Anolis sagrei: one gene and its partners. The protein of the gene in region 1 binds, or shares a complex with, the protein of each later gene. Links are inferred from orthologs where the notes say so. Each region holds a gene or a part of one and is shown in the gene's direction. Other genes may lie near its edges. The genes, in order: CBLL1, METTL14 and VIRMA.

Region 1 (5,621 bases):
GCCACAGCAACGCATGGCAGGGAATGGCTAGTTTATATAAATAAAAATGTAATGTTCAGTTCTTGTGGGTTTTTTCGGGCTATATGGCCATGTTCTAGAGGCATTTCTCCTGACGTTTCGCCTGCATCTATGGCAAGCTTCCTCAGAGGTGAGGAATGTTCGTTTGTGGGATTAGCATAACTCAAAAACCACTGGATGAATTGACACCAAATTTGGACACAATACACCTCTCAGGCCAACAAGTGACCATCACTCATAAAAACACTGAAAAACACAGTGGAAGAGACTTAAAAAGCCAAAACAACAACGACAACATTACAATGCATGCACAAAACCACATGTATACAAATATACACATACATACACACACAAAACACATATACACAGAGTGGGCCATAGCAATGTGTGGCAGGGGATGGCTAGTGTATTATAAAAAAGTAAATAAGACTTGAGTGTGCCTTTATCACGGGGGGGGGGGGGGGAGTCTCTTTTTCTAATGTTGAATCCAACACCTTATGTGTTCAAGAAAACTTAGGAAGGATAAAATTGTTAATTAACAATAAGCTGTTTATTAGAATATGTATTCATTCATTCAAGCTATTGTGAAGGAATCAAGAATTGTTGCTTAAGTCTTATAAGATCTACACTCCTAAGTTTTTTTAAATAATTATGCCAATTACTTTCAAATAATATAAAGTAGTTTTTACTTTAAAAAATCTTCAAACATCTGAACTATATATATATAATTAAAGGCTTGATAAATTTAAAAAAGAGATAAATAAGAATAAACCAGATGCACCGTGTTGTTTATTCGTTCAGTTGCTTCTGACTCTTCGTGACCTCATGGACCAGCCTACACCAGAGCTCCCTGACAGCCGTCACCACCCCCAGCTCCTTCAAGGTCAAGCCAGTCACTTCAAGGATACCATCCATCCATCTTGCCCTTGGTCAGCCCCTCTTCCTTTTTCTTTCCATTTTCTCCAGCATCATTGTCTTCTCTAAGCTTTCCTGTCTTCTTATTATGTGGCTAAATACTTCATCTTGGCCTCTAATATCCTTCCCTCCAGTGAGCAGTCGGGCTTTATTTCCTGAAGTATGGATAGGTTGGATCTTCTCCCGGTCCGAGGCACTCTCAGAAATTTCCTCAAACACGACAGTTCAAAAGCATCTATCTTCCTTCGCCCCGCCTTCCCTATGGTCCAGTTCTCACATCCATATGTTATTATGGGGAATACCATTGCTTTAACTACGCGGATCTTGGTTGCCAGTGTGATGTCTCTGCGCGACCGCATCTCTGTCTACGAACCCAAGTGCAGCAAGTGTAGTTACTGGGATGTATAGTTCACCTACAATCAAAGAGCATTCTGAACTCCACCAATAATGGAATTGAACCAAATATGGCACACAGAACTCCCACGACAAACAGAAAATATATATCAATGATTGGTTGGGGGGGGGGGGGCACCAAAATACTGTTTGCTTACTGTTGAAAATTACCTAGGGCCGCCTCTGGCCGTATGCCTTTCCCAATCTTGCACCATAGGAAGGAAAAAAAATACACGTCTTTCCTTACTGCCTTTCCCTTTAAAACAGTGTTTCTCAACCTTTCTAATGGCGCGACCCCTTAGTACAGTTCTTCAGGTTGTGGTGACCCCCAACCATAAAATTATTTTTGTTGCTACTTCAGAACTGTAATTTTGCTACTGTTATGAACCTTAATGTAAATATCTAATATGCAAGATGTAATTTGGCACAAATACACCAAAATTTGAATACTTGTGGGGCTGGGGTGTGTGTGATTTTGTCATTTGTCTGCCTCATGTTTTTAAAATGTGTCGTTTTGCTTTTTTGAGTTATTTATTGTTTTGCTGTTGTTGTTTTATGGTGTTATTGGGCTTGGCCTCTTGTAAGCCACACCGAGTCCTGCGGGAGATGGTAGCAGGGTTTAAGAACAATAAATAAAAATAAATAATAAATTTAGGAGTTGTAGTTGCTGGGATTTATAGTTCACTTCAATCAAAGAGCATTCTGAATTCCACCAGCACTCTCATGACCAACAGAAAATGCTAGAAGGGTTTGGTGGGCACTGACCTTGAGTTTTGGAGTTGTAGTATACTTACATCCAGAGAGCACTGTGGACTCAAACAGATGGATCTGGACCAAACTTGGCACGAATACTCAATATGCCCAAATATGAACATTGGTGGATTTTGGAGAAAACAGACCTTGACATTTGGGAGTTGTAGTTGCTGGGATTTATAGTTCATCTACAATCAAAGAGCATTCTGAATTGATGGAATTGGGACAAACTTCCCACACAGAACCCCCATGACCAACAGAAAAAACTGTGTTTTCTGATGGCCTTTGCTTACCCCTCTGACACCACCTCCCAGGTTGAGAAATGCTGCTTTAAAACAAGTCATTCTTCGTGCACCACAACCTGGAAGTTTCACTCCTTACTAAAATCCATAGCCAGAGTTCAATTTCTTCCCAGAGGAGAAAAAAAAACTGCCTGAAGAAACCCGCTAGTGTCCTCTGCCGCTGGGAATCTATATTTTTGCCTGTCTCTATGTTCGCGCCCCTCGCGCGCTCTTTCCGGCCCCGCCCACCCGCTCGCGCCAGGACACTTCCCGTCCAGAGTGCCCTGCCTCGAATCATGGACCACAATGGTGAGCGCTTGGCGGGCGTTGGAAAGGAGGGAAGGCCCCTTTTTCGGAAGACCCGACGCATTCCCCCGCTTTCGCCCCAGCCTCTCTCCCTCTCTCGTCGTCCACAAGCCGCCCAATTTGAGCGGGAGGGAGGCCTGAGGGAGCGGCGAGGCCTTTAGAAGCGTTGAGGCCTTGTTTGAAAAGAGCGGCCGGCGGGGGGGGGGGGGGGGGGGAGGTGTGAAGGAGGCTGCGCAGGCGCACTTGGGCCTTCGTGACTTGAGGCCTAGCGCGCTTTGAGGGGATTTGGGTTTTCCCATGATAAGGAGAAGAGGCTCAATTTGAGCGGGACGAGGCCTTCAGAGAATAGCAAAGTCCGCGCTAGGCCTCTTCCTCCTTGCCGTGTCTGCCTTTCCTTACCCCACTGCTTCTTTTTGCCTCCCTCTTCTGCCCTGGGAGTTCTAAGTTTTACCAGGCATTTCGCCTTCTCTGCCACTTAGGCAGAAAAAAAAATATTGTGTCAGGAGCAAACCGAACAGTTGTATTTCATTTTTTATTTGCTTGCTTGCATGCTGCAAGTCGCTTCTGGTTGCATCTGTGGCAAGAGAAGTCTACGAAGACGTTGCTCAGGGGACGCCCGGATGTCTTGCAATCCTGCGAGGAGGCTTCTCTCATGTCCCATGTCATGTCTCTCATGTCTCATGTCAGCAAGCGAGAGTCCAAAAGTGGCAGGCTCAAACCTAGCACCTCAATCCGTGGGTGACTCCCTTCTGGGCACACAGAACACTGGGCGACTTGGAAGGTGCTGAACAGACTGTGCTCTGGCACCATGAGATGCAGAATACTATAATATAAATGGGTTCCTGAATCATCATCATCATCATCACTTTATTTCTTAATTAGTCGCTCTCCACCAAGGTGCTCCGATCGACTTACAATTTAAAACAGTTTATACACAATATAAAACATTCAATATAAAAACATTCAATATAAAAACATTCAACATAAAAACATTCAACATAAAAACATTCAGCAGTGACTATGGCAAAATTTGATCCGGTTACTTAAATGCACAGCCAAACAGCCAAGTATTGAGCGCCTTTGCAAAAGGTTGCAACTCCGACATTGCTCTAATATATGGAGGCAATGAGTTCCACAGAATTGGAGCATTGATCGAAAAAGCTCTACGCCTTGTAGCTTCCAAATGTGCCTCCCTAGGAGCCGGTATGTATAGGAGATTTTCCTGGGTGGATCGAGGTGGCCGCTGATGGGGAAAAGGAAAGATTGAATGCATACAACAAAAATACCACTTGTATAACATAAACAATAATATAATTCAACAACAGTATATAAACATGCTGCACTGTTAACCTCACAGCGACAACAAACAACATGGTGCAGATTTTTAGTACAGTCATATCTTCTTATAAGTAGCTTGTGGATCAGCCGTCCACGATCGGTTTCGGCCTACCTCAGGCCTTCCTCTGGTGGACTCAAATTAATGTACAAATCAATGTTTTACTCCAGTAGCATACATATAGAACATCTGTATCATTAAATATCATAAGTTACAACACATTTAAGTACTTACAAAGTTATACACTATAACTTATGATTCTATGAGTGCTAGTGCCTCAGCATACAACAAGTCCCTTTATTTATCGTGTCAGAAGCAAATTGGGAATACAGTTATAATGCATAAAATACTACAAGCAGTTAAGTATTTGAATGTGTCTGGTGTCGCTGAAAGGAGGTCCTCTAATGTGGTACGGTCCAAGGTCTTTCGCCTTCTCTGTCAAAAGGTGCTGGTGCCTAACCAAACTACAAATCTCAGGTTTTACAACAGCACCCTTAGTTTGCAAAAGTTTATTCATGGATCAGTATTCAAAGGGATCTAGTAGCACCTTTGAGATTAACTGAGAAAAAAAGTTGGTAGCATAAACATTTATAAACTGAAGTCTACAAAAGCTTATGCTTCTGACATCTTTCTTTCAGTCTCTTAAGGTGCTGCAAGATCTTTGTGTCTAATCTTACCAGTACGAGAGATGATTGATTGTTGTTGTGTGCCTTCAGTTCGTTTCCACCCTGAGTTAACCCTATCACCTGGTTTTCTTGGCAAGCTAAGAGGAGGTGTGCCATTGCCTTCCTCAGGCTGAGAGAGTGGGAATTCACCAAATTCACCAGTGAGTTTCCAGGCTGAATGGGGATTTGATCCTTGATCTCCAGACACTCAAAACACTGCTTCAAGCTGGACCATAGCAGGAATTAAAAGTTCAATGTTGGGGGTCACAACAATTTGGCAGCAGTAAATGAATGCCACCTAGTTGCACAAATTTGTCTTGTGGTGAAAACAAGGATTGATGATAGTTTCAGTTGAGATACCTTTCCCCTTCATAATTCTTTTAGAAGTAAATTTCCCTTCTGAGGGGAAGGTTTTTTTCACTTCCTGTTCTCTTAACTATGAGTTGTTTGTAAATTGAACGTTAGCAACCAGGGGACTGCCTGTACACATGAGTCTCTGTATTAAAATATTTAATTGAAATAGCTTCCTTCACTAGAATACATTTATGGTTTCTGTTGACTAAGTGGTTTAGTAGCAACACTTGCGTCTGGGAATTTCCTGTGAGACAAGTATTCTACCATAATTGGAGACAAACCCATTTTAAGAATGTACACAAAATAAAGGTCTGACAGCATCTACAGTGTAGATTGAATACAGTTTGACACCACTTTAACCGCCATGACTCAATGTGATGGAATCATTGGAGCTGGAATTTTACAAGATATTTAGCCTTTTGTGTCAGTAAGTGCTGTGCCTCTCCAGACTATAAGTCCCAGGATTCCTTAGCATCCAGCGATGGCAATTAAAGTGGTGGCAAACTGCAATAATTCCACAGTGTAGATGAACTCAAAGTGTGCTTATTTGTTAGAACACAAACAAAAGCTTGATTCATATTAAATTTATAAGGTACATGC
Region 2 (5,621 bases), about 48 Mb from region 1:
GTATTGGGTTGTTGTAGGGTTTTTTTTTTTTTTGGGCTATATGGCTATGTTCTAAAGGCATTCTCTCCTGACGTTTCACCTGCATCTATGGCAGTGGTTCTCAACCTGTGGGTCCCCAAATATTTTGGCCTTCAACTCCCAGAAATCTTAACAGCTGGTAAACTGGCTGGGATTTCTGGGACTTGTAGGCCAAAACACCTGGGGACCCGAAGGTTGAGAACCACTGATCTATGGCAAGCATCCTCAGAGGTAGTGAGGTCACTACCTCTGAGGATGCTTGCCATAGATGCAGGCGAAACGTCAGGAGAGAATGCCTCTAGTCTAGAACATGGCCATATAGCCCAAAAAAACCTACAACAACCCAGTGATTCCGGCCATGAAAGCCTTCGACAATACATAGGTCAGCATTTCTGACAATACAGAGAAGCCATTGAAATCCACAAGCATGTGGACAATTTCAACAGAAAGGAGGAAACCATGAAAATCAACAAAATCTGGCTACCAGTATTAAAAACCTCTAAAATTAGGAAATAAAGAGGAACACTAAAAAAGCAGGCAGGGAGAATCCAGAGAAAATTAATCAGGGCCAGATAATACTTCCTGCTAAAGGATTCCCCCAGACAGGAAGCAGCCAGGCTTTGAAGCTGCAAGGCCATTAAATGCTAATCAAGGTGGCCAATTGTAACATTCACACTTGCCTCCAACAGATAAAAGAGTTGGGTTTTTTGAGCTATATGGCCATGGTCTAGAGGCATTCTCTCCTGATGTTTCGCCTGCATCTATGGCAAGCATCCTCAGAGGTAGTGAGGTCTGTTGGAACTAGGAAAAAGGGTTTATATATCTGCGGAATGACCAGGGTGGGACAAAGGACTCTTGTCTGCTGGAGCCAGGTGTGAATGTTTCAACTGACCACCTTGATTAGCGTTTGATTGCCTGACAGTGCCTGGAGCAATCTTTTGTTGAGAGGTGGTTAGATGTCCTTGTTTATTTCCTCTCTGCTGTTTTGCTGTTGTAATTTTAGAGTTTTTTTTAAATACTGGTAGCCAGATTTTGTTCATTTTCATGGTCTCTTCCTTTCTGTTGAAATTGTCCACATGCTTGTGTATTTCAATTGCTTCTCTGTGTAGATTGACATGGTGGTTGTGAGAGTGGTCCAGCATTTCTGTGTTCTCAAATAAAATGAGTCGCCCTTGGGCTGAGAATTGCGGTATATAAGCGCAGCAAATAAATAAATAAATAAATAAGCATCCTCAGAGGTGTGAGGTCTGTTGGAAATAGGACAATGGGTTTATATATCTGTGGAATGGCTGGGGTGGGGCAAAGAGCTCTTCCTTGCTAGAGCTAGGTGTGAATGTTTCAACCTTCATTAGCATTTGAAGGCCTGCCTGAGCCAGGGAAAATCTCCTGCTGAGACGTGTTAAGCTGTGCCTGGTTGTTTCCTCTCTGCTTTTTTTTTTTTACTTGGGTGATGGTTGGGTGAAGAGACAAGAGCTCTTTCTCCCACCCTGGGCATTCCACAGATATATAGAAACCCCACTTGCCTAGTTTCCAACAGACCTCACAACCTCTGAAGATGCTTGCCATAGATGTGGGCGAAACGTCGGGAGAGAATGCTTCTGGAACAGGGCCATACAAACCGAAAAACATATAGCAACCCAGAAGAACTCTTTGCATACATTAACATGACGGTGTGCTGTTTTTCGTACGTCTATGTTCACAGCCAAAGACAGAGAGGAAGTGACGTCTCAGCTGTGCGTCCGTGAGGCGCCCATTTCTGAACCCGCGCGGCCGTCGGTTGAGGATGAATAGCCGGCTGCAGGAGATCCGGGAGAGGCAGAAATTGCGCCGGCAGCTCCTGGCTCAGCAGGTAACGGGAGAACACCGGGTTGGACTCCGTCCTTCAAGGTTTGGGCCTCCGCGCATGCGCCCTGGCCTCGGAGGGGGAGGCTGACGGATGGATCGCCTCCCTTCCCACTGGTCAGCGCCTGTGACGTAGAACGCGGGAGAGGCTCTGCGTTGCCATGGAGACTGAAGGCCAAAGGGTGTTTCAGTTCTGTCAAGTCTCACACTCTCAGGCCCCTTCCACACAGCTGAGTAAAATCCCACATTGTCTTCTTTGAACTGGGATATATGGCAGTGTGGACTCAGATAACCCAGTTGTGGGGTTTTCTGCCTTGATATTCTGGGTTATATGTCTGTGTGGAAAGGCCCTCAGTCTCAGAAGGCCATGGCAAACCCAGGTTTTCAAGAAATGCCTCCCATTTTATTATATTTTTCCCTTTTTTGTTAATTTTTAAAGTATTTTTTCATATTATATACTTCACATAACGGCACTCCATGCAAGTCATGGTGGCCACATGACCTTGCAGGTGTCTACGGACAACGCCGGCTCTTCAGCTTAGAAATGGAGATGAGCACCACATCCCAGAGTTAATAATAATAATAATAACACTTTATTTGTACCTCGCTACCATCTCCCAAGGGACTCAGTGCGGCTTACATGAGGCCGAGCCCAAATACAACAATACAAGCAATAATAACAACAGTACAAGCAATTAAAATAAAACATGGACAATACAATAATGCAACATTAACAATAAGACCACACGATTAAAAACTATGGGAAGGCCAAATGTAAAATTAAAATTGAAAATAATGCTGGAACTTGGGCGAAAAAGTGATGGGGCGTTTGTGGAAAACATACAAGCAGACCTAAAAATGTGGAGGACAAAGTGCTATGGGATCATTATTCTGGGAAGGCACACTGAACAGCCACGTCTTCAAGCTTCACCTAAAGACTGCCAGAGTTGGGGCCTGCCTAATGTCGTTACGAAGTGAGTTCCAGAGTTGAGGGGCCACCACCGAGAAGGCCCTCTCTCTCATCCCCACCAAGCAGGGCCTCTCCAGATGAACGGAGAGATCGTGTGGGTTCGTATACAGAGATGTGGTCACGCAGGTAGGCGGGTCCCAAACCATTCAGGGCTTTGTAGGTAAGAACCTGCACCTTGAATTGGGTCCGGAAAATGAATGGCAACCAGTGGAGCACCTTGAACAGGAGGGTTGACCGCTCCCTTAAGGAGCCCCAGTTATCAACCTGGCCGCCTGTTGGACCATCTGGAATTTCCGAGCTGTTTTCAAGGGCAGCTCCACGTAGAGTGCATTACAGTAGTCCAATCTGGAGGTCCAGTCGTTGGACACAACTGGACTTACTGTCAGGGGAGACCTTTACCTTTACCTATACTACACATAATACAGCAATGCACCACAGTCTAAAAATTTGCATTATCTCGCATCTCTTCCCTGCCCAAGGTGACTCTACCAATTACTTCCCTGTCAGTCTTCTTACTAATATATTAGCCTCTATTTTCCACGCTTTAATTCATATTTGTACAATTCCAACGAAGTCTTCGGATGGTGGAGGCTCCTTCTATGGAGGATTTTAAACAGAGGCTGGATGACCATCTGTTGGGAGTGCTTTGAACCTGATTGTCCTGCTTCTTGGCAGGGGATTGGACTGGATGACCCACGAGGTCTCTTCCAACTCTATAATTCTATGATACTTGAGCACAAGCTTTGTAAGCAATACCATTATACCAGGAATTGGGCATTAGTTGAATTCAGTGATGTTATTCTAAGTTACCTGCCAGACTTATTACCTTGCTTTAGCATGGGGGCTGTTCTCCTAACATTTGCTGGCCTACTTTTACACTTGAGGACAGAAATTATTGAAGTGAACATGGTTGACACTGGTATACAGTTATTTTTTATTACTTTTTTCATGTCGGTGGCAACTTGAGAAACAGCAACTCACTTCTGGTCTTGAGAGAATTGGCCGTCTGTAAGGACGTTGCCCAGGGGGAAACCCGGATATTTTACCATCCTGTGGGAGGCTTCTCTCATGTCTCTGCAAGAGAAGCTAGAGCTGACAGATGGTAGCTCACCCCGCCCCCTGGATCTGAACCGCTGACCTTTCGGTCAGCAGCCCTGCCAGTACAAGGGTTTAACCCATTGCACCATGGGGGGGGGGGGCTCCACATTTTTGTTACTATGGCTGCTGTATGGAATCCTTGACTGAGATCAGCAGAGTTGCTTTGGGTATAAATACAACATTCGTCCTGTTGCTTAATTTCCCTTACGTGGACTTCATTGTTATTATGTTATATTGTTTATGTACCTTGTTGTATTTATATGCTTGTACTTTTGAATGCTTTTGTGAGCCTCCCCAAGTCCCTTTGGGGAAATGGTGGTGAGGTATAAATAAAGTATTATTATTATTATTATTAGTATTAGTATTAGTATTAGGAAAACAGGCACACATGGATTTCACTGATGGGAGTTTAATCATCTGCAGAAACATTTCATTGGATTTCTCACAAGGAGAATGAGAAATTATGATAAATTTATATTATAAAGGTTTTAGGTATGTAATGTTTGTATTAAAGCTTCTCTTATTTGTTTCTATAGTAATAGTATTTATTTCTTTGTTTTTTTTTTTGTTTTTTTTTTTTTGCTTTTCTCTTAGTTGGGGGCCGAAAGTGCTGATAGTATTGGTGCAGTGTTGAATAGCAAAGATGAGCAGAGAGAGATTGCTGAAACAAGAGAAACTTCCAGGTTTGTACTGAAATAAGTTGTGAAACTTCCCATAACAGTAGTATTCTCAAGGGGGAGAAGATGGAAAGAATACAAATTAGCTTGAATTTATTTTGTTTTTGACTGGTTTAGGAAAAGTTGAACTCTTTTCCCCCATTGTAGGGAGGAAAGAGTTGAAACATAAAATGTTTGTCTCTTCTCAGGACCCTTCCACAGCCATATAACCCAAAATATCAAGGCAGAAAATCCCACACTGATTTGAGCTGGGTTATCTGAGCCCACTCTCATATATTCCAGTTCAAAGCAGATAATGTGAGCTTTTATTCAGCTGTGTGGAAGGTGCCTCTGTCCTTAAGTTTGTTGACAAAATGGGAAGGATATGGGTGATAGTTAAAATGTTCATCACTTAGCATCTCTGAATTATTTACAAATATATTAGGTGCCCTAATTAGTTCTGTAATTTGTTTTTAGTGTTGTTTGCTGTCTTGCACATTATTTTTGTGTAAAGACAGAACAGAAATTTAATATCAACACTAATTGCATTTCTTTTATACCATGTGGAATTTATTTTAGAATATTGAAAGATATACATTTCTAATATGTAATTATCTTAATGCAGGATATATTTAAAGCAATCAATGGTACATTATTATTCAGAAAGGGTCAGCTTATACATTTTCCCAGCTCAGGATATGTTATGGGTAATGTAAGAAGACAAAACCTTTGGTTGCTGCTTCCCTCTCCTCTTGTGTAGATGGACAACATAGATGTACAGAAACCAGCACAGTTAAAGGAACAAAAAAAACTCTATCCCCTGTTTCCCTTGTGTACAGCTCTGATTGGGTTGTCTAGTGTTTGTTTGTATGTTTTTTTAAAAAGGCATGTACCATGGAAAAAGGTGGCACCAAAGTAAGCAAGAGAGGAATAATTACAGAAGAAATTTAGACCCAAGCGAAACATCCTTTCAAATCATTGTGTTCATAAACTGCTCTCATAGGCCAGTACACTCTCTCTTCTTCACATTTTCAGGG
Region 3 (5,621 bases), on another chromosome or scaffold:
AACTGTTAAATAAATAAATAATAATAAATGATGGCCAATGTATATGTGTATGTAAATCTCTAGACAAAAACATACATACTGCATTACAGATACATACATGCATATATACTGGAATACATCTTGAGGATAGGAATATGCATTCCAATATGTGTTTGTTGTGTGTATTTATGTATGTATCTATATCAACACACATACATACTGAAATGTAATATTACATGTAAAATATATAATTATAATATCGTATTATTATTATTAGTATTATATTGTATCACATAATATTATCAATATTACATGTTATATAGTTGCTTTCGTGGTTGTTATTACTTGTTATTACTGGAGCATTGCAACACACCCAAATACCTGGGAGTCACTTTGGACTGTGCTCTTACCTACAAGAAACACTGCCTGAACATCAAGCAAAAAGTGGGCGCTAGAAACAACATCATACGAAAGCTGACTGGCACAACCTGAGGATCACAACCAGACACAGTGAAGACATCTGCCCTTGTGCTATGCTACTCTGCTGCTGAGTATGCATGCCCAGTGTGGAACACATCTCACCACACTAAAACAGTGAATGTGGCTCTTAATGAGACATGCCGCATTATCACGGGGTGTCTGCGCCCTACACCACTGGAGAAATTACACTGCTTAGCCGGTATTGCACCACCTGACATCCGCCGGGAAGTAGCAGCCAATAGTGAAAGGACCAAGGCAGAGACATCTCCAGCTCATCCCGTTTGGGTATCAGCCAGCACGCCAATGACTTAAATCTAGACATAGTTTTCTAAGATCTACAGAGACACTCGCTGGAACACCTCAGGAAGCGAGAGTCCAAAAGTGGCAGGCTGAAACCCAGCACCTCAACCAATGGCTGATACCAAATGAGAGACTCCTTCCTGGGCACACAGAAGACTGGGCGACTTGGAACAGACTGCGCTCTGGCACCACGAGATGCAGAGCCAATCTTAAGAAATGGGGCTACAAAGTGAAATCCACGACGTGAGTGTTGAGAAGAGCAAACCACTGACCACCTGCTGCAATGCAACCTGAACCCTGCCACATGCACAATGGAGGACCTCCTTGCGGCAACACCAGAGGCACTCCAAGGGGCCAGATACTGGTCAAAGGACATTTAACCAGCTACCAAGTTTGCAAAATCTGTGTTTTTCTTCTTCTTTTTAATCTGTGTGTTTGTTTTGCTCTGTTAGAATTGTAATATAATGGTATGGTTGCTGATGACACGATAAATATAAATATATATTACTTGTTCCTGTTAAGAATGGCTGGATAACAACTCCCCGAGCCATTTAATCGCCTCCCTTCGCTTGGCGCATCTCAGACATAAATACAGAGAGTGCAAAGCCCCTTCGCCACCGCAGAAGGGACGCAGAGATGTCACGCATGCGCAGCCCTGCGTTGAAGCAGCGATGGCGAGCATGCGCGGACCTTTCCCTGGCCCCGGAAGCGCTTGTCTCCTCGGCGCGTCCGCCGACGCAAGATGGCGGCGGACACAACAACGGAGCTTCTATTTTTAGACACTTTCAAGCACCAGAGCACGGAGGTAACGGGGGGTCGCGGAGGCATCTCTCCTCTCTTTGGGAGGAAGGGGAGGGCGGCGGGGCCCTGTCAGTGTGGGCTCCCCCTGCCGGGGGTCCTCTTCCTGCGCCTCTCGGGGCGGGGCCAGCGCCCATCCTTCTGCCTCGCTCCTTCAAAGACGAGCAGAGTTTCCCTCCCTCTTGTCTCCTCCTCTTCAATATTTGTGTACAGGCGGGATTTATTTGCAGCATTCTTAGCCTTAGCTCTGAGTCGAGATTACTATTTCAGGATGCATCTCTACCAGGCAGGAGCAAACTTGGGCCTTCCAGGTGTTTTGGACCTCCAACTCCCACAGCCTCAGGCCAGGCATGTAGCCGGGGGGGGGGGGGCTTGAGGAGCTTCAGCCCCCCCGAAATTCTCATGGTGGTTCGCGAAAAGGCCTTACTGGTGCATTATTTAAACTGTTATGTTTATTCATATCATGATCTGATCACCATACTCAATATATCCCATATGCACATTCCAAGCACAAGCTGGAATGTGTCCAGAGGAGAGCGACTAAAATGATAAAAGGTATGGAGAACAAGCCCTATGAGGAGCGGCTTAAGGAGCTGGGCATGTTTAGCCTGAAGAAGAGAAGGCTGAGAGGAGATATGATAGCCATGTATAAATATGTGAGAGGAAGCCACAGGGAGGAGGGGGAAAGCTTGTTTTCTGCTTCCTTGGAGACTAGGATGCAGAACAATGGCTTCAAACTACAAGAGAGGAGATTCCATCTGAACATTAGGAAGAACTTCCTGACTGTGAGAGCCGTTCAGCAGTGGAACTCTCTGCCCCGGAGTGTGGTGGAGGCTCCTTCTTTGGAAGCTTTTAAACAGAGGCTGGATGGTCATCTGTCAGGGGTGATTTGAATGCAATATTCCTGCTTCTTGGCAGGGGGTTGGACTGGATGGCCCATGAGGTCTCTTCCAACTCTATGATTCCACCTACATTTCCTGACAGTGGAATATGCTCCCTGTATCTCGTCTGCCTTGGACCGCGAGAAGATCCAAGCAGTCCATACTTTATTTATTTACTAGCTGTACCCGCCACGCTTTGCTGTGGCCAACCATCCCTCTTTCTCTCCTTCTTTCCCTCCTTCCTTCACTCCCTCTTTCCTTCCTTCCTTCCTTCCCATCTTTCCTTCTCTTCTTCCTTCCTTCTCTATCTCTTTCCTTCCTTTCCCCTTTTTCTTTCTCTTCTGCTGTCTGTTTTCTTCCTTCTCTCTTCCCTTTTTTTCCTTCCCTTCCTCTTTCTGTACATCTTCCCCCCTTCCTTTGCTCCCTCTTTCCTTCCTTCTTTCCCTTTTTTCTTTCCTTCTCTCCTTCCTTCCTTCTCTAACCTTCCTTCCCCCTTTTTCTTTTCCTCCCACTTTCTCCCCTTTCTTCCTTCTCTACCTCTATTTTTCCTTCGTTCTCTCTTTGCTTCCATGCTTCCTTCTCCCTTTCTTTCTTTCTTTCCCTCCCTCCCTCTTTCTTTTCCTTTCCTTTCCTTTCTTTCTTTTTTCTTCCCTTCCCTCCCTTTTCTTCCCTTTTTTCTATATTGTCATTTAGCTTTTCATCATTTAGCTTTTTGGGGCTTTTTAAGTCCCTTCTGCTGTGTTTTTAGTGTTTTATGAGTGAAGGACATACAATGGGTTGTTAGGTGTATTGTGTCCAAATTTGGTGTCAATTTGTCCAGTGGTTTTTGAGTGCTGTTAATCCCACAAACGAACATTACATTTTTATTTATATAGATTTATTTCCAGTATTTCTACCCCGTCCTTCTCAATCCCTGAAGGGGGGACTCAGGAGGGCTTACATTTGGCACAATTTGATGCCATTAAATATAACAACAATTAAAACAATAAGTAGAACATTAATTAAAACAATAAAAACAGTATTAACCATCATATCATCATTCCAGTCAAATTCCATATCCTATTTATGCCTGCTGTCCAAAAGCCTGGTCCCAGAACCACGACTTCAATTTCTTCCTAAAAGACAAGAGGGATGAAGCGGATCTTACCTTGTTGGGAAGCGAGTTCCACAGGTGGGGGGCTATAGCCGAGAAGACCCTATCTCTCGTCCCCGCCAGATGTATTTGTGATGCTGGCGGGAGCGAGAGCAAGTCTCCTCAGATGATCTTAAACTGCAAGGCGGGACGTAGAGGGAGATGCGTTCGGACAAGTAAGCTGGGCCAGAATCGTATAGAGCTTTATAGGTCAAAACCAGCTACTTTGAATTGAGTTCGGAAGTGGATTGGCAGCCAGTGGAGCTGACACAACAAGGGGGTGGTGTGCTCCCTGTATGTCACTCCAGTTAGTAATCTGGCTGCAGCCCGTTGGCCTAGTTGAAGTTTCCGAAAATTTTTCAAAGGCAACCCCATGTAGAGTGTGTTGCAGTAATCTATTCAGGATGTAACAAGAACATGGACTACTGTTGCCAGATCAGACTTCTCAAGGTACAGGCGCAGCTGGCGCACAAGCTTTAACTGTGCAAAAGCTCCCCTGGCTTTTTAAGGAAATAAAGCCCGACTGCTCATTGGAGGGAAGGATAGTAGAGGCCAAGATGAAGTACTTTGGCCACATAATGAGAAGACAGGAAAGCTTAGAGAAGAAAATTATGCTGGGGAAAATGGAAGGAAAAAGAAAGAGGGGCCGACCAAGGGCAAGATGGATGTATGGTATCCTTGAAATGACTGGCTTGACTCTGAAGAAGCAGGGGGTGGTGACGGCCGACAGGGAGCTCTGGCGTGGGCTGATCCATGAGGTCACAATGAGTCGGAAGCGACTGAACAAATAACAAAAAACTCATCCGCCTACTTTGATTGAACCAATTGGAGGTTCCAAACTTGGTACAGACGTAGCCCAATGTACAGAATAGCACAGTGTTCTGATCCCACCCTCAAATATGCATTCTTAACAAGATTAAGGATTCTCAGTAGAAAAGAAGTGCCACAAACTGTGCACTTTGACTGTGCAAGCAGTGTATGCGTGTACAGGAATGGCAATTTTATACAGAATTGTAATTTGAGGTTCCAGTAGTAGGCAAGTGTTGCAGAATTATAAAAGGAACTCTTAAGTGATGTTGCAGCTCTTTGCTTTAACAATGGAACTAATGGAAATCTTCTGCTTGGTCCAGTGTTGAGGTAGGGGCAACAATAAAATGACTTAAGATGCTTTGGGGATCATTAGGGTTTTAAGTGTGTAGCCACTTAAACAACTCTTCTCACAGCAAAATGCATACATGGGAGAATTAATTTCTAGAATGTAGGTGCCCATATCCTCATGAACATCAAATACATTGTTTACAAATAGAGTTGTTCCGTTAAATGTGTTTCGTTTATTGTTGAAAGGTAAACATGCCAGATTATTCATGTTATGAGTATTTATTTGGATTTCAGTATATTAAATTGTGCAAGTATAACCAGGCTGAATGCTGTAGTATGTAGCATGTCTTCTGACTGTTATCAATTGCATACTCAGCAAATTTTAAACTTGCATTATGCTATCAGCGATCTGTTCACTAAACGTATTACTATAAACTAGGCCCTTCCATCCCTGCTTCATGACAACAGTATATTGGCTTGTTCCTTGCAAAAAAGGATTGGGTGAATGTGTATTCACTGCTCACTTTTGAGCAAAGAAATGGGTTATTTTCAACAACGAAGTGGCATAGGCCTCCCCCCCCCCAAATGCATTACATTGTGTAAGGTGACCAAACAAGTACAGTTGTAAAATACAGTAGATTTATTGGGACAGCTTTTGTTTACTGAATGATAAAACAGGGCTCAGTAGCTGTCATTTTCTTTTATTACCTTTCTTATTACAAATGGCAAAATTATTACAAAATGTGAACAACACATGTCATACAAAATGAATGGATAAAACTATCATACCTTTGTTTGCCTTTTGAAAAATGTCTGGACTCTTTGCCATACATTTTTCTTTAGGGAAACTTCAGAGTACTTATGAAACAAAATGAAGAGATTGTTCAACCTTGATTAATTTTCCCCCCAGCAAAGTACTCATGTAGACGTGGTTCGCTTTCCATGCGTAGTTT

What was found.
Region 2: CBLL1 (region 1) and METTL14 share a complex: the UniProt entries of both Homo sapiens proteins name them as parts of the WMM complex. The link is inferred for Anolis sagrei from reciprocal best matches to the Homo sapiens genes CBLL1 and METTL14.
Region 3: CBLL1 (region 1) and VIRMA share a complex: the UniProt entries of both Homo sapiens proteins name them as parts of the WMM complex. The link is inferred for Anolis sagrei from reciprocal best matches to the Homo sapiens genes CBLL1 and VIRMA.

Annotation. Positions count from the first base shown.
Region 1 is NC_090025.1:82,852,904-82,858,524, reverse strand, and holds the start of CBLL1 (E3 ubiquitin-protein ligase Hakai), read left to right. Parts: upstream 1-2,580; 5' UTR 2,581-2,656; coding exon 2,657-2,669; intron 2,670-5,621. UniProt on the Homo sapiens protein: E3 ubiquitin-protein ligase that mediates ubiquitination of several tyrosine-phosphorylated Src substrates, including CDH1, CTTN and DOK1. Targets CDH1 for endocytosis and degradation.
Region 2 is NC_090025.1:35,084,081-35,089,701, forward strand, and holds the start of METTL14 (N6-adenosine-methyltransferase non-catalytic subunit), read left to right. Parts: upstream 1-1,737; 5' UTR 1,738-1,801; coding exon 1,802-1,867; intron 1,868-4,522; coding exon 4,523-4,611; intron 4,612-5,619; coding exon 5,620-5,621. UniProt on the Homo sapiens protein: The METTL3-METTL14 heterodimer forms a N6-methyltransferase complex that methylates adenosine residues at the N(6) position of some mRNAs and regulates the circadian clock, differentiation of embryonic stem cells and cortical neurogenesis.
Region 3 is NC_090024.1:33,918,046-33,923,666, forward strand, and holds the start of VIRMA (protein virilizer homolog), read left to right. Parts: upstream 1-1,451; 5' UTR 1,452-1,501; coding exon 1,502-1,564; intron 1,565-5,578; coding exon 5,579-5,621. UniProt on the Homo sapiens protein: Associated component of the WMM complex, a complex that mediates N6-methyladenosine (m6A) methylation of RNAs, a modification that plays a role in the efficiency of mRNA splicing and RNA processing.